3 linked regions of the Arabidopsis thaliana genome follow. The main gene of each other region encodes a partner of the protein of the gene in region 3 in a complex. Each region holds a gene or a part of one and is shown on either strand. Other genes may lie near its edges.

Region 1 (3,763 bases), on a different chromosome or scaffold from region 3:
GTTGAAGTACATAAAACAAAGAATTGATTTATTTATAATCGAGTAAGATAAATTTTAAACCACACAAGTAACATGGTTACACATAATTGTATCAAAATATCATATATTGTTGTTATATGTATTTTTGATAGTGAACAAATATTAACATCTTATAAATAGCTTTATACATGAAAATTAGAAATTGATATTTCGAGTTACAAATGAATCTAACCATAAAAATTGTAAATAATATGGATCTAATTTCATTAACAATACAAAAATAAACATAAATTAGCAAAACTAACAATCAATCTAAATATTTTTTAACAATTTTCAAAACAAACCCACGCGTAGCGTGGGTACTCATCTAGTATCATAGTAAAAACTGGTATGGAACTTACGAATAGTTTGCACAATATTAAAGAAAGTGTCAGAGATACGTTAAAGCATTTTCTTGTAGAGAGACTAGGGATTAGGAGTGGAGCTGGTTTGTCACTTGATGTTCCAACTCGATAGAACTCGAAGGTGTGTTTAGCTCCTCGGACTCTTCCACAATACTGGAACACTATATTGTTGTGTTTGGACCAGGGGATGAAGTTAGCGTGTGGCATACGTCAACCTCAAATTGTATGGTTTATCCACCATTGTATGAACTAATGATGGGTATGGAAACTCGTTGGGTCCATACGAGGTACTTAGATCTTAAAAAAACATATAGTGAAGAACAGAAACCTAACACTACAAGATGAGAATCTAGGTTTTATGGTACTAAAGAAAAATAAGAGAATGAACAATCAATATTATACACATTGTACCCCGTTCATTCATCAATTTTATAAAACAGTTTACATCAAAAGTCATGATTATAACGAGATCACAATCCATTATCTTATCGTGTGGCGATATCATCTTTCTCAATGGTGAAATCCCATACATCACCATATTTGTCATTAAAGTCCCAAATGCTCATTGTGTTGTAGTCATTAATGAGCTTGTCACGAGCTCCTCTCTCCAATTTGTATATCTGAGGCTCGAAGTTGTGTGGCTGGTCAGGTTTATCCATCTCTATTATACAGAACACTACCGTGAATAACGCTGCACCTATGAACAAGTACTCACCCTGCAACACACACACACAAACACTGGTGATTCTTTTTCTTCTCATACTTGGCTTAATTATCTAATCTCTTGTACGTCCTCCACAAAACAAAAGCGATAAAACTAGTAATGATAAATTTTGGAAGCAAGCAAAAGATTTTGAAGTTACCGGAGCATCAAAATACATCCCAAGAGCTATAGCAGGAAGAAACATACAAGAGATCAAACCTGCAGACATAAAAAAACCGCGAGTTTTCAATCAATCTGCGGTACATAAAAAGCACTAAAAAGCGGGTTAAATTCATACCTTGAAACCCATTAGTTTGATCCACAGCAGCAATGTCATCAGCAATTGCTCCCCAAAATGTTCCTAAGAAACATTTCCAAGAAGACTAATCAATCAATCAAACAAAGAAATATTATAGCTCTAAAATCGAAACAGCGACAAGAATCAATAGGAGAAACCAAAATTATACCCTTTTGAACTTCTCCTTCATAGTAAGTATGAGCTCCATCGTAATATCCATACTTGAAATCTTCCTATTAACAAAAGCGCTAACCAATCAGAAACAACTTTCAGCAGAATTATGAATTTAAAATCAATTGAATCTTTACCATTTCAATGCTATTAGTCTCGAATTGACCAATCGGGTCTTCGTTGATGTCTGGTTCGATCTGTGACAATCCAGCCGCTGAGACCAGCTTCGCTAACTTCAATCTCCGGCCGGATTTGCCGCATTTTACGACATTGACGATCTGATCAGAAACCCTAGCTCCGAATTTGGAATCAGTGACCTTTGGAATCGATTTGGGTGAGAGAATCGTGACCGTTGCCATTTTTTCACTCACTTTATCTTTTTCTTGCTCTGTCTCAGAGTTTTGGAGCCATAGAAAGAAAAAACGGTTCTTTTTTTTTTTGTGTGTTCGTTAGCGAAAGAGATTAGTAGTTTACTGGTTACTGTCTGTCATATTACCAAAGTGACTGACAAGTTCGTAAGCGTCACGTGGAACGTATTCATTTGATTGTCTTCTCTAGTTGGTTAGTGAACGCTTACATCGCGTGAAGACTATTGAAACGGCCCAACTTTGTCTTTGCTGAAATCAACAATATATATTAAGCCCAATTTGATTTACGTGACAATTGCTTAATTATTAAATTCAACCCAATATTTTCCTATATCCAGTTAAATGTAAAATTCAGTTCAGGTTAAACATCATAATACTTTGCATATTTTTAATAAGGAAAAAGCAAAACAAAAAAATAATGTATTAGCCGATTTATCGAATGCCTAAACAAGAAAGATCAATAACATTCTATGGACCAATTTGTTGAATCGTACAAAATGGTTTTGTTTGTCTAGACGCCTAAACAACCTGTTTTTAGAACTTTGTAAAGGATCTATGTAGTTGGCTTTGCTATGTTCGAATTAGTAACAAGGTCAAGGCACTTCATTGATTTAGGAGACAATGACATAAGAATCATAAAGAAATGATTCCCAACTGCAACTAATAAAGGCTGGAGTGGTTGGAGAGTAGGGTAAATTAAATGCTTTGCTCTTTCTTTGATTAATGGTTACCAATATCATGTCATGTTCTAGGGTAAAATTATTATAAACCAATTTCTCTATCATTTTACTAATGAATAGAATATCAATTTATCTCAACTACTTAGAATCAAATCTCACCCAAATTTAAACGCAACAAATATAAATTAAGATTTGGGGTTTAGGTGGATGGATTGCTACGAAGTACAAACATTTTTGATGTGGAAACTAGAATAACAAATAAAAGTCGGCCAAATTTTCAACGACAAATACATTAATGTTTTAATTTATGGACTATTGCGGTTAGGTACTTGTTATCCACTTATCTTCTTAATTCATCGAAGATATTAGCTTAATGATTTGTAATCCATGTGACATGCACTTACACATGTAGTGTTTATTGAATTATTATTATTTTTTTGTTGAAAGGTTTAGTGTCTAATGAAATGCAAATATATATTTGATTCCGATAGTTGAAATCAACACTAGTTAAGCTCCTTTTTTCTTCAATATTATCTATAGAAAATATGTACCATAATTTGCTTGAAGAATTTGAGATATCTTACCGATATAACTAAAGGTGCAGAGAGATTAAAAATCATAATTCATTTTGGAAATATTTTTTTTCTAAAGAACTCATTTTGGAACACACTTTTCTACCAACTACGAAAAAAAATTCAAACTGGTTTTGTTTATTTAAGATTTAAGAATGACTTGAAAAGGTAGAATTTGTAAAACCAATGAAGAAGAAAGAATTGTGGAGTGGTAGAGAATGGTTTCTTCAAACTTCTAAGAATAATTGTTGAACGTAATTGCTTCGTTTGGTAGGAATTTTCTTAGCAATTAGAATCAGTTCTATGTTATATAACAAACATATATTTTTGCATTACTTACCACACAAACTCTCCCCAAATTGTGTGTTGACACATACCAAATGATGATATAAATACAAAACTTATCACGCACGCGTTAAAGATTCACACGCATGTTATTGACTTGTGAAAATCTCACAAGTAGTTAGTACACATGAAACGATAGTTTAGTTTTGGGTTATGAACTTATGATATGAGTTAATGGCATCATTTTTTTTTTTTTTTTTTTAACACGAACTTCATTTTTATTACTTAGGAAACGTAGTCTGA
Region 2 (3,407 bases), on a different chromosome or scaffold from region 3:
TCATGAATTTGATTGTGTATATATAATAATACTGCTCTGTTTTATAGGTTTTTCGTGGTTGCAAACGCCATTTCTGGTGGATATTTGGTTCTTTCTCTACCTGTGAGTATCTTTCATATCTTCAGTACTCAAGCTAAAACCTCGAGAATCATCTTGCTCGTTGTCGACACGGTAAATATCTCCCTCTTTAAGAGAACAAAACAGGGCACCAAATATCCAACTAACTTGTGACCCAAGAAAGCTAACATTTTAATGAAAACCCATATATAAATTTAAATTTGATCACTCAAAAGTGTTATGATTTATGGTTTCTATATATAATCAGGTGATGCTGGCTTTGGTTAGCTCTGGAGCATCTGCAGCAACAGCCACCGTGTATTTAGCTCACGAGGGGAACACAACTGCTAATTGGCCACCGATCTGCCAGCAATTTGACGGATTCTGTGAACGCATCTCGGGATCTCTCATCGGTTCTTTCTGCGCAGTGATCTTACTCATGCTTATTGTTATCAATTCCGCTATCTCCCTCTCTCGCCACTAAGATATCTATGCACATATATATATCGATCTGATTTTGCAGAGAAATCACGCAAACGAAATGTTTCTTGAATATACATTATTAAGTCTTTTAATTTTATATCTAATGTAACGAGTCCAGAGATTTCATGTGAAGAATGAAGAAAGACATATATACAATACAACTGAATTAAGCAAGAAACTCCACAACATTGTCTATCGATTTCAATGTCTTCTCGTAGTAAAGATAGGACTCGTACACCTTTGGCGTCCGTACATAGAAATCCAACTGTTATATCAAAATTATGAAAGATATCAATATTAACATGTGGTTAAAGTTTGACTTCCATATGATCATGTGTTACAAAACGCAACATTCAGTGTTATTAACAATCAAACCTTAAATTAGCATTAAAAATTACTAATTCTGTTTTTAATTTGTTCATTAATTATATAACGTATACCTCACTCATGTTTTCGACAAGCTCGTTTGCCGCCTGAACGTAATCATTCCGGCGACTCTCCGGCAAGATGTTCATGGCGTTGGTGAGATCCTGAGACAGATAAGCCTGTTTCAATCTTATGTAGAATATAACGTACCTCCACGACATGTGGTCCAACATCTCCCTCATGTCTCTTAATCCTTCAGCCGTCTGTTTTATACGCGCCGCCGCATCCTCAGGTGATAGTCCCGGCATAAAATATTTCTCCTTTATGAATGACCTTGTCCCCCATTTCTCCTGTGCTAATGCTGATGACGTAGCACCGCCGATGACCGTGAATGTTATTAGTGAAGTCAAGGTTCTCCGGCGGGTGAAGATGTCTTGTTGGGGTTCTCCGGTGCAACATACGACGGAGAACGGTTGGTTTACACGGCGATGATAAATTTTCCGGAGGAGATACGGTGGCGGAGTGTTGGTGGTGGTGAAGGAGCTCATTTGATTTTTGTTTTTGTTTTTCTTAAGGATATGAAATGGGAGGAGCTCAAAACTATAATGTCTACTCGGTCTTTCATGTTTTGCCACGTCGGCTGTTATCTCTAAAGTTTTGTATTTTAGAATTTGTGAACATGGGCCCATAAGACTTTAAAGCCCAATATTATGGAAACGACGTCGTCAAATACACTCTGATGACCGAAACGATGTCGTTGACTACGAAATAGAATCAAGTTGTGTTCTCTGTGATGGACATTGTGTTAGTGGTAATCAAATCCGGTGAAAATGGAGCGGAGCCGAGTGACCAGAGAAGCACCGACCGGAACCAGGATCCTGCTTGCTTCACTCTCTGCGATGGTTGCAGAGTCAGTTACGTTTCCGATTGATCTCACAAAGACTAGAATGCAGCTCCATGGTTCGGGATCCGCTTCTGGTGCGCATCGGATTGGCGCTTTCGGAGTCGTATCGGAGATTGCGAGAAAGGAAGGAGTGATTGGTCTCTACAAAGGTCTATCTCCGGCGATTATCAGACACCTGTTCTACACGCCTATCAGAATCATTGGATACGAGAATTTGAAAGGACTCATCGTCAGATCTGAAACTAACAATAGCGAGTCTCTTCCTCTCGCCACAAAGGCTCTCGTCGGAGGATTTTCTGGTGTTATAGCTCAGGTAACGGTGTTTCTTCACCGGTAAATCTTTAGAGTCATGTTTTGACTGTAAATTGGATCTGGATTAACAGTTGCTTAGAGTAGAATTAACATTTCGAATTGAACAATCGATCTCTATGTATAGTTTCCTTTGAATATGTTTCGTAGAAGAAGGTATTAATTAGAAGGAGATTTTGTTTCAAGTTTTATAGGCTTTCAATGTTCGTTTCATTCCAAAGTTAGCTGCTACTTTAGGTTGGTTCAGAGATAAGAACCAATGCAGATCCTAGTCATAGACGTCTCAATGTATTTCACAGATCCTTAATCCAAAATTTGTGCTTGCTTGTTGTCTCCTATGTGTTACAATTAAGTTCTCTCAGATCACTGATTACCTATGGAAACTCGTAGATTTCCGGCGAAGTTAATTATTAAGGATTTTCAATTGTTTTTACGCTACTGAAGTGAGAAATGTAGCTATCTTTTAGGTTGTTGATATCTTTAGAATTGACATTTGAGTGTTGTTTATACCTACACCACACTAAAATGCTTCTTATTGTGTCCATACTAGAAATGCAGGTAGTGGCTAGTCCAGCTGATTTGGTCAAAGTGAGAATGCAAGCAGATGGTAGATTGGTGAGCCAAGGCCTGAAACCGAGGTACTCGGGACCAATCGAGGCTTTTACCAAAATCCTACAATCAGAAGGAGTAAAAGGGTTATGGAAAGGTGTTCTTCCAAACATCCAGAGAGCATTTCTAGTGAATATGGGAGAACTAGCTTGCTATGATCACGCCAAACACTTTGTCATCGATAAGAAGATTGCTGAGGATAACATTTTTGCGCACACTCTTGCTTCTATAATGTCGGGTCTTGCTTCGACAAGTTTGAGTTGTCCAGCTGATGTGGTGAAGACGAGGATGATGAACCAGGGTGAAAATGCTGTGTACAGAAATTCTTACGACTGTTTGGTGAAGACGGTTAAGTTTGAAGGAATAAGAGCTTTGTGGAAAGGTTTCTTCCCGACATGGGCAAGGCTTGGACCGTGGCAGTTCGTGTTTTGGGTCTCCTATGAGAAGTTTAGACTGCTGGCAGGAATCTCTTCCTTCTAGACCTGAGAAACTGGAAAAGCAAATTTGAGATTTGTGTTCTTTAGTTCTTACTTGTTAGTTGTTACACATTTTGTAAGAACCTTGAGAAGTAGCATCAGTTTCTGATTAACGCGAGAAGAGTTATATAAATTTGGGCCCAAAAGTGTAGGCCCATAGATTTATCATTTTTTTTTTGTTGATTAAATTAGATTGGACATCC
Region 3 (4,015 bases):
TTCTACTGTTGTTATTGGGTATTTAAAAATGACTTATTTAAACAAATTGGTTATCCAAAATTCTGCGGGGGACAACGTAATATATAATACATTAGGAGACATGATTACCTGATAGCGGGGGACAACGTAATATATAATGCGTTAGGAGACATGATTACCTATTAGCGGAGAACAATTGGAGCAAGACTTTTGTTTTAGTCTTCAGATCTTGTCCTCGAATAGAAATTCTCTTTTGCATCTACGTTTTGTCCTCGATTTCACCATCTTGCTCTATTATTATGAATCCTACATCTTATATGCAATTGTTCTCATTTAATAATTTTGAATTTTATTTAAATTTTTGCGATCTATTTTGATCCACAGATTAGTTGAGCGTTATTGTCTTCACCTACACGTTAACATATTTTAATAATATGTTATATCGGGACAAGTTCATATCGAATGAGTAATAGAATTGGATCGGGGACAAAGTCAGATCGAATGATAGACAAGATAATATGTAATAACTGAATATTTTTGTTGTTTTACAATAGAAGAAAAAAAAATCGTGTCGGTGAAAACAATAATGCTCAACTAATCTGTGGACCAAAATAGATGGTAAAAAATGATGAAATCAAGGACAAGATCTAGATACAACAGAAATATTGTGATGAATAAAATTGAGAGACAAATTTAATTGAAAGTTACATGTAAAGAATCTGTGCAGGTTGTCAAAGAAAGTGAGAGAGTGACAAAAGCGCTTCATCTTCGGGAAGATAATAATATATGGTTAAAGCGCACAGATTTCAAGGAAGGAGAGATAAAATAGAGAAGAAATGGAGAGGGACAAAATCGATATTTCAGTATGAAATATGACATGAGTTGTAAGGCCCAGCAAATTATGGCAGATTGCATAAGGATTGGAAAAAATATGGCATATGTTGTAATTTTTTCCTTTTTAAAAATAATCTAAATAATTCTATAATCAATATGTGAACGATATTATACTTTACAGATCTTTTTGTAACTTCACCTTAATTATGATAGACCTTGCAAACAAATAAATGCAACAAAAAATAGACACTAAAAAATCTCAACAACAATCTTTAAATTATAAAAAATCACATAAATATCTTCGGGATTCAAATTTTAATAATTATTTAAACGGATTTTCTAATTTATATCAAAACCAAATATATTGAATATAAAATATACAAATAGGAAATACATTAATTTAAAAGATACAAAATATTTAACAAGAAATTGTGTTATTTTTTGTTCAAAGAATTCGATATAAAATCTTCGAAACGATCCGATATTGATTCTTATTAGATTGAAATTGTTAAAATTTCAATATATTATACAATTTTTCTTTTTAAATTGAAATTGTAAACCGACTCGAAGTATATTAAATAAAAATATTATTAAAAAGAAAAAGAACAATTTGATTTTTAGTTATCACGGGACGGATTTATATGGCGGGACGGGTTTACAGGAGACGAGTTTACATGGTAGGACGGGTTTGGATGAGACGAGATTATATGGTGCTATGAGTTTAGATGGGAAAAATTTGGATACCACGGGTGTACTCCTAGAATTAACAATCAAATTACAACTATACAATAGTAAACAAAACAAACAATAATAACATAACAAATACAATTTTAATTTCAAATTTTTAGTTACAAAAAAATAAATAAAATCAACATTTTAGTATAAGTGTTAATCTTCTTTGACACCTCTAAATGTTATTCTTCTTTGATACATTTAAATGTGTAATTTTAATATAAAGTTACTAAACTACATATGTTCCATGGATTAAATTTGAAAACACCAAAAGTTTATATTAAATAATTTTTTTATAACAAATTATGAATAAAATAAAATATTATCCCGTGGTATGGTCTATCACAAGTCAAATCCTAAAAGATAAAATAACATATATTAGACTTATTAATATCATAATTGTGACTCAATAAAAAACATACACAACCTTATCGATAATTATTAATCATCACAAACAACAACAAACAACAAATTATATTTTGTGATAAAGAAAAATAAATAAATAAATTTAATTTACGGTATATCGCGGGTCATATCCTAATTATGATACAATTGTCTATTTTTACCCTATATATATTACAAACGCACACATTTGTTGCATAACATATTTAGACATCGCTTCCAAAGAAAGAAATCATTTATCTCTACATTATTTCTTCCTCTCATTGCCCCTCTCTTCTCAACGTTTTGTCTCTTATATCTTTACGTTTCATACTTTTTTTTTGTTGACATTTAATTATTTAAATTTTTTGTTCCTATGGACACTAGATAGGACAACAAAAGATATAAAGAAAATCTACACCACACATATCATGAGGTTCTGGAACAAGTTTCTGCGGTAAGAGAAACCAAAAACATGAAGGGCAGAAAAAAAAAGAACAAACCATCTTCAACACAGAGCCATGGCTTATGCAACTTCTACCTATGCACGAACCTCATGCATTATCCTACCCAAAATCCAAAACGGCGCGCATTTCACGGATGACACGAAAGCATTTAGAAGGATAACAGCAAGAAGAGTGACGCGTATATACGCGTCACAAGGCCCGACTAAACCGTCAAAACCATCTCCAGGAGTAGACACAAGAATCCACTGGGAAAGCCCGGACGAAGGCTGGATCGGAGGAAGATCCGACCCGGCCAAATCGGTTGATGAGGACAAAACCAATCTCCTTAGTGACGAAAAATTTGCAGAACTAATCAAAGACTCTTTTGATTCTCATTACCAGTGAGCAAAACAAACATTCTCATTACATATCTTTTTATTTTTATTTTTCAATATGTATTGTAACATGTAACAATAATCATTTTCAGATTCTTAGGTGTTTCAACGGATGCTGATCTAGAAGAGATAAAATCTGCGTACCGGAGATTATCTAAAGAGTATCATCCAGATACAACTTCACTACCACTTAAAACAGCTTCAGAAAAGTTCATGAAATTAAGAGAAGTGTACAATGTTTTGAGCGATGAAGAGACTCGGAGGTTTTATGACTGGACACTGGCTCAAGAAGTTGCGAGTCGTCAAGCTGAGAAAATGAGAATGAAGCTAGAGGATCCGAAAGAGCAAGATTTTAGGGGCTATGAATCAATACCTGATATGGTTGACCGGTTAGGTGGAAGAAACATGGAGCTTAGTGATCAAGCAATGACTGCTCTCACGTTCGATATTTTGATCGTATTATTCGCTGTTTGTTGTATAGCTTTTGTGATTGTTTTCAAAGATCCTTCTTACTAGGTAAGGAGCTTTGTATATACTTGGAAAATTCATATAGTTTATATGTAGATGGAAGATTAACAATTACAGATTATAAGATCATTTGAACTAAAATAAAGTGGTCTAGTGGTTCTGTTCCTCACCTTTTTTGTGTGTGTGTTATTTTTGGATTTTTTCTAAGCTATCCAAACATTGTTTTAGAGCTATATTTTGTTATGCTTACCTAGCTAATCCAAATAGTCTCATTTATATAAAACAAAGCGAACAAAATAGTAGTTTTGATAACTAATGCGGAATTCACTAGTTTGGGAAGTATAGTAGGAATAAAAACTAGGGAGATTTGCAAAACTACCCTTTTTTCACTACCTTTTGCAACAATACCCTTTTATCAAGTCTTATATATATGTAGCACCTGACTCAATCCTCCTTAGACGTGTTCCTTAGAACTGTTCGATGCACATTTTGACTACGTTTTTTTTTCTTTTTTTCCTAAGATGTAAATATTTCACTAAAAATGAAAACAGTTTAAGAGTATAATCAAAAGACTATAAATGGTCCCATGACAAAAGAAAAACATGAAGCATAATTTATCAAGCAAACTTCAGTCCATCCGCATAACAAACGCACATAAGCTAATAGAACTAGATGAAGTGATAAAGGATTTTGTTGTTCTTTCAGACTAGTTTGAGTAAATGAAGGGTGATAGCACGTGAAGAAGCCAAAATTGTCTGCACACTAAGCACTATAAGCCTT

What was found.
Region 1: NdhT (region 3) and PnsB5 share a complex: the UniProt entries of both Arabidopsis thaliana proteins name them as parts of the chloroplast NDH complex.
Region 2: NdhT (region 3) and PnsL2 share a complex: the UniProt entries of both Arabidopsis thaliana proteins name them as parts of the chloroplast NDH complex.

What each region holds. Positions count from the first base shown.
Region 1 is NC_003076.8:17,579,232-17,582,994, forward strand, and holds PnsB5 (NAD(P)H dehydrogenase 18), read right to left. Parts: upstream 2,045-3,763; 5' UTR 1,915-2,044; coding exon 1,693-1,914; intron 1,618-1,692; coding exon 1,554-1,617; intron 1,448-1,553; coding exon 1,385-1,447; intron 1,306-1,384; coding exon 1,247-1,305; intron 1,100-1,246; coding exon 869-1,099; 3' UTR 636-868; downstream 1-635. Other genes in the region: AT5G43755 (non-LTR retrolelement reverse transcriptase-like protein), read right to left, coding at 3,746-3,763. UniProt on the Arabidopsis thaliana protein: NDH shuttles electrons from NAD(P)H:plastoquinone, via FMN and iron-sulfur (Fe-S) centers, to quinones in the photosynthetic chain and possibly in a chloroplast respiratory chain.
Region 2 is NC_003070.9:4,837,932-4,841,338, reverse strand, and holds PnsL2 (PsbQ-like 2), read right to left. Parts: upstream 1,539-3,407; 5' UTR 1,455-1,538; coding exon 981-1,454; coding exon of another isoform or gene 966-980; exon of another isoform or gene 806-965; coding exon 707-805; 3' UTR 542-706; downstream 1-541. Other genes in the region: AT1G14160 (Uncharacterized protein family (UPF0497)), read left to right, coding at 48-171, 326-541; UCP3 (Mitochondrial substrate carrier family protein), read left to right, coding at 1,737-2,123, 2,678-3,208. UniProt on the Arabidopsis thaliana protein: NDH shuttles electrons from NAD(P)H:plastoquinone, via FMN and iron-sulfur (Fe-S) centers, to quinones in the photosynthetic chain and possibly in a chloroplast respiratory chain.
Region 3 is NC_003075.7:5,930,585-5,934,599, reverse strand, and holds NdhT (Chaperone DnaJ-domain superfamily protein), read left to right. Parts: upstream 1-2,124; 5' UTR 2,125-2,447; coding exon 2,448-2,773; intron 2,774-2,859; coding exon 2,860-3,283; 3' UTR 3,284-3,490; downstream 3,491-4,015. UniProt on the Arabidopsis thaliana protein: NDH shuttles electrons from NAD(P)H:plastoquinone, via FMN and iron-sulfur (Fe-S) centers, to quinones in the photosynthetic chain and possibly in a chloroplast respiratory chain.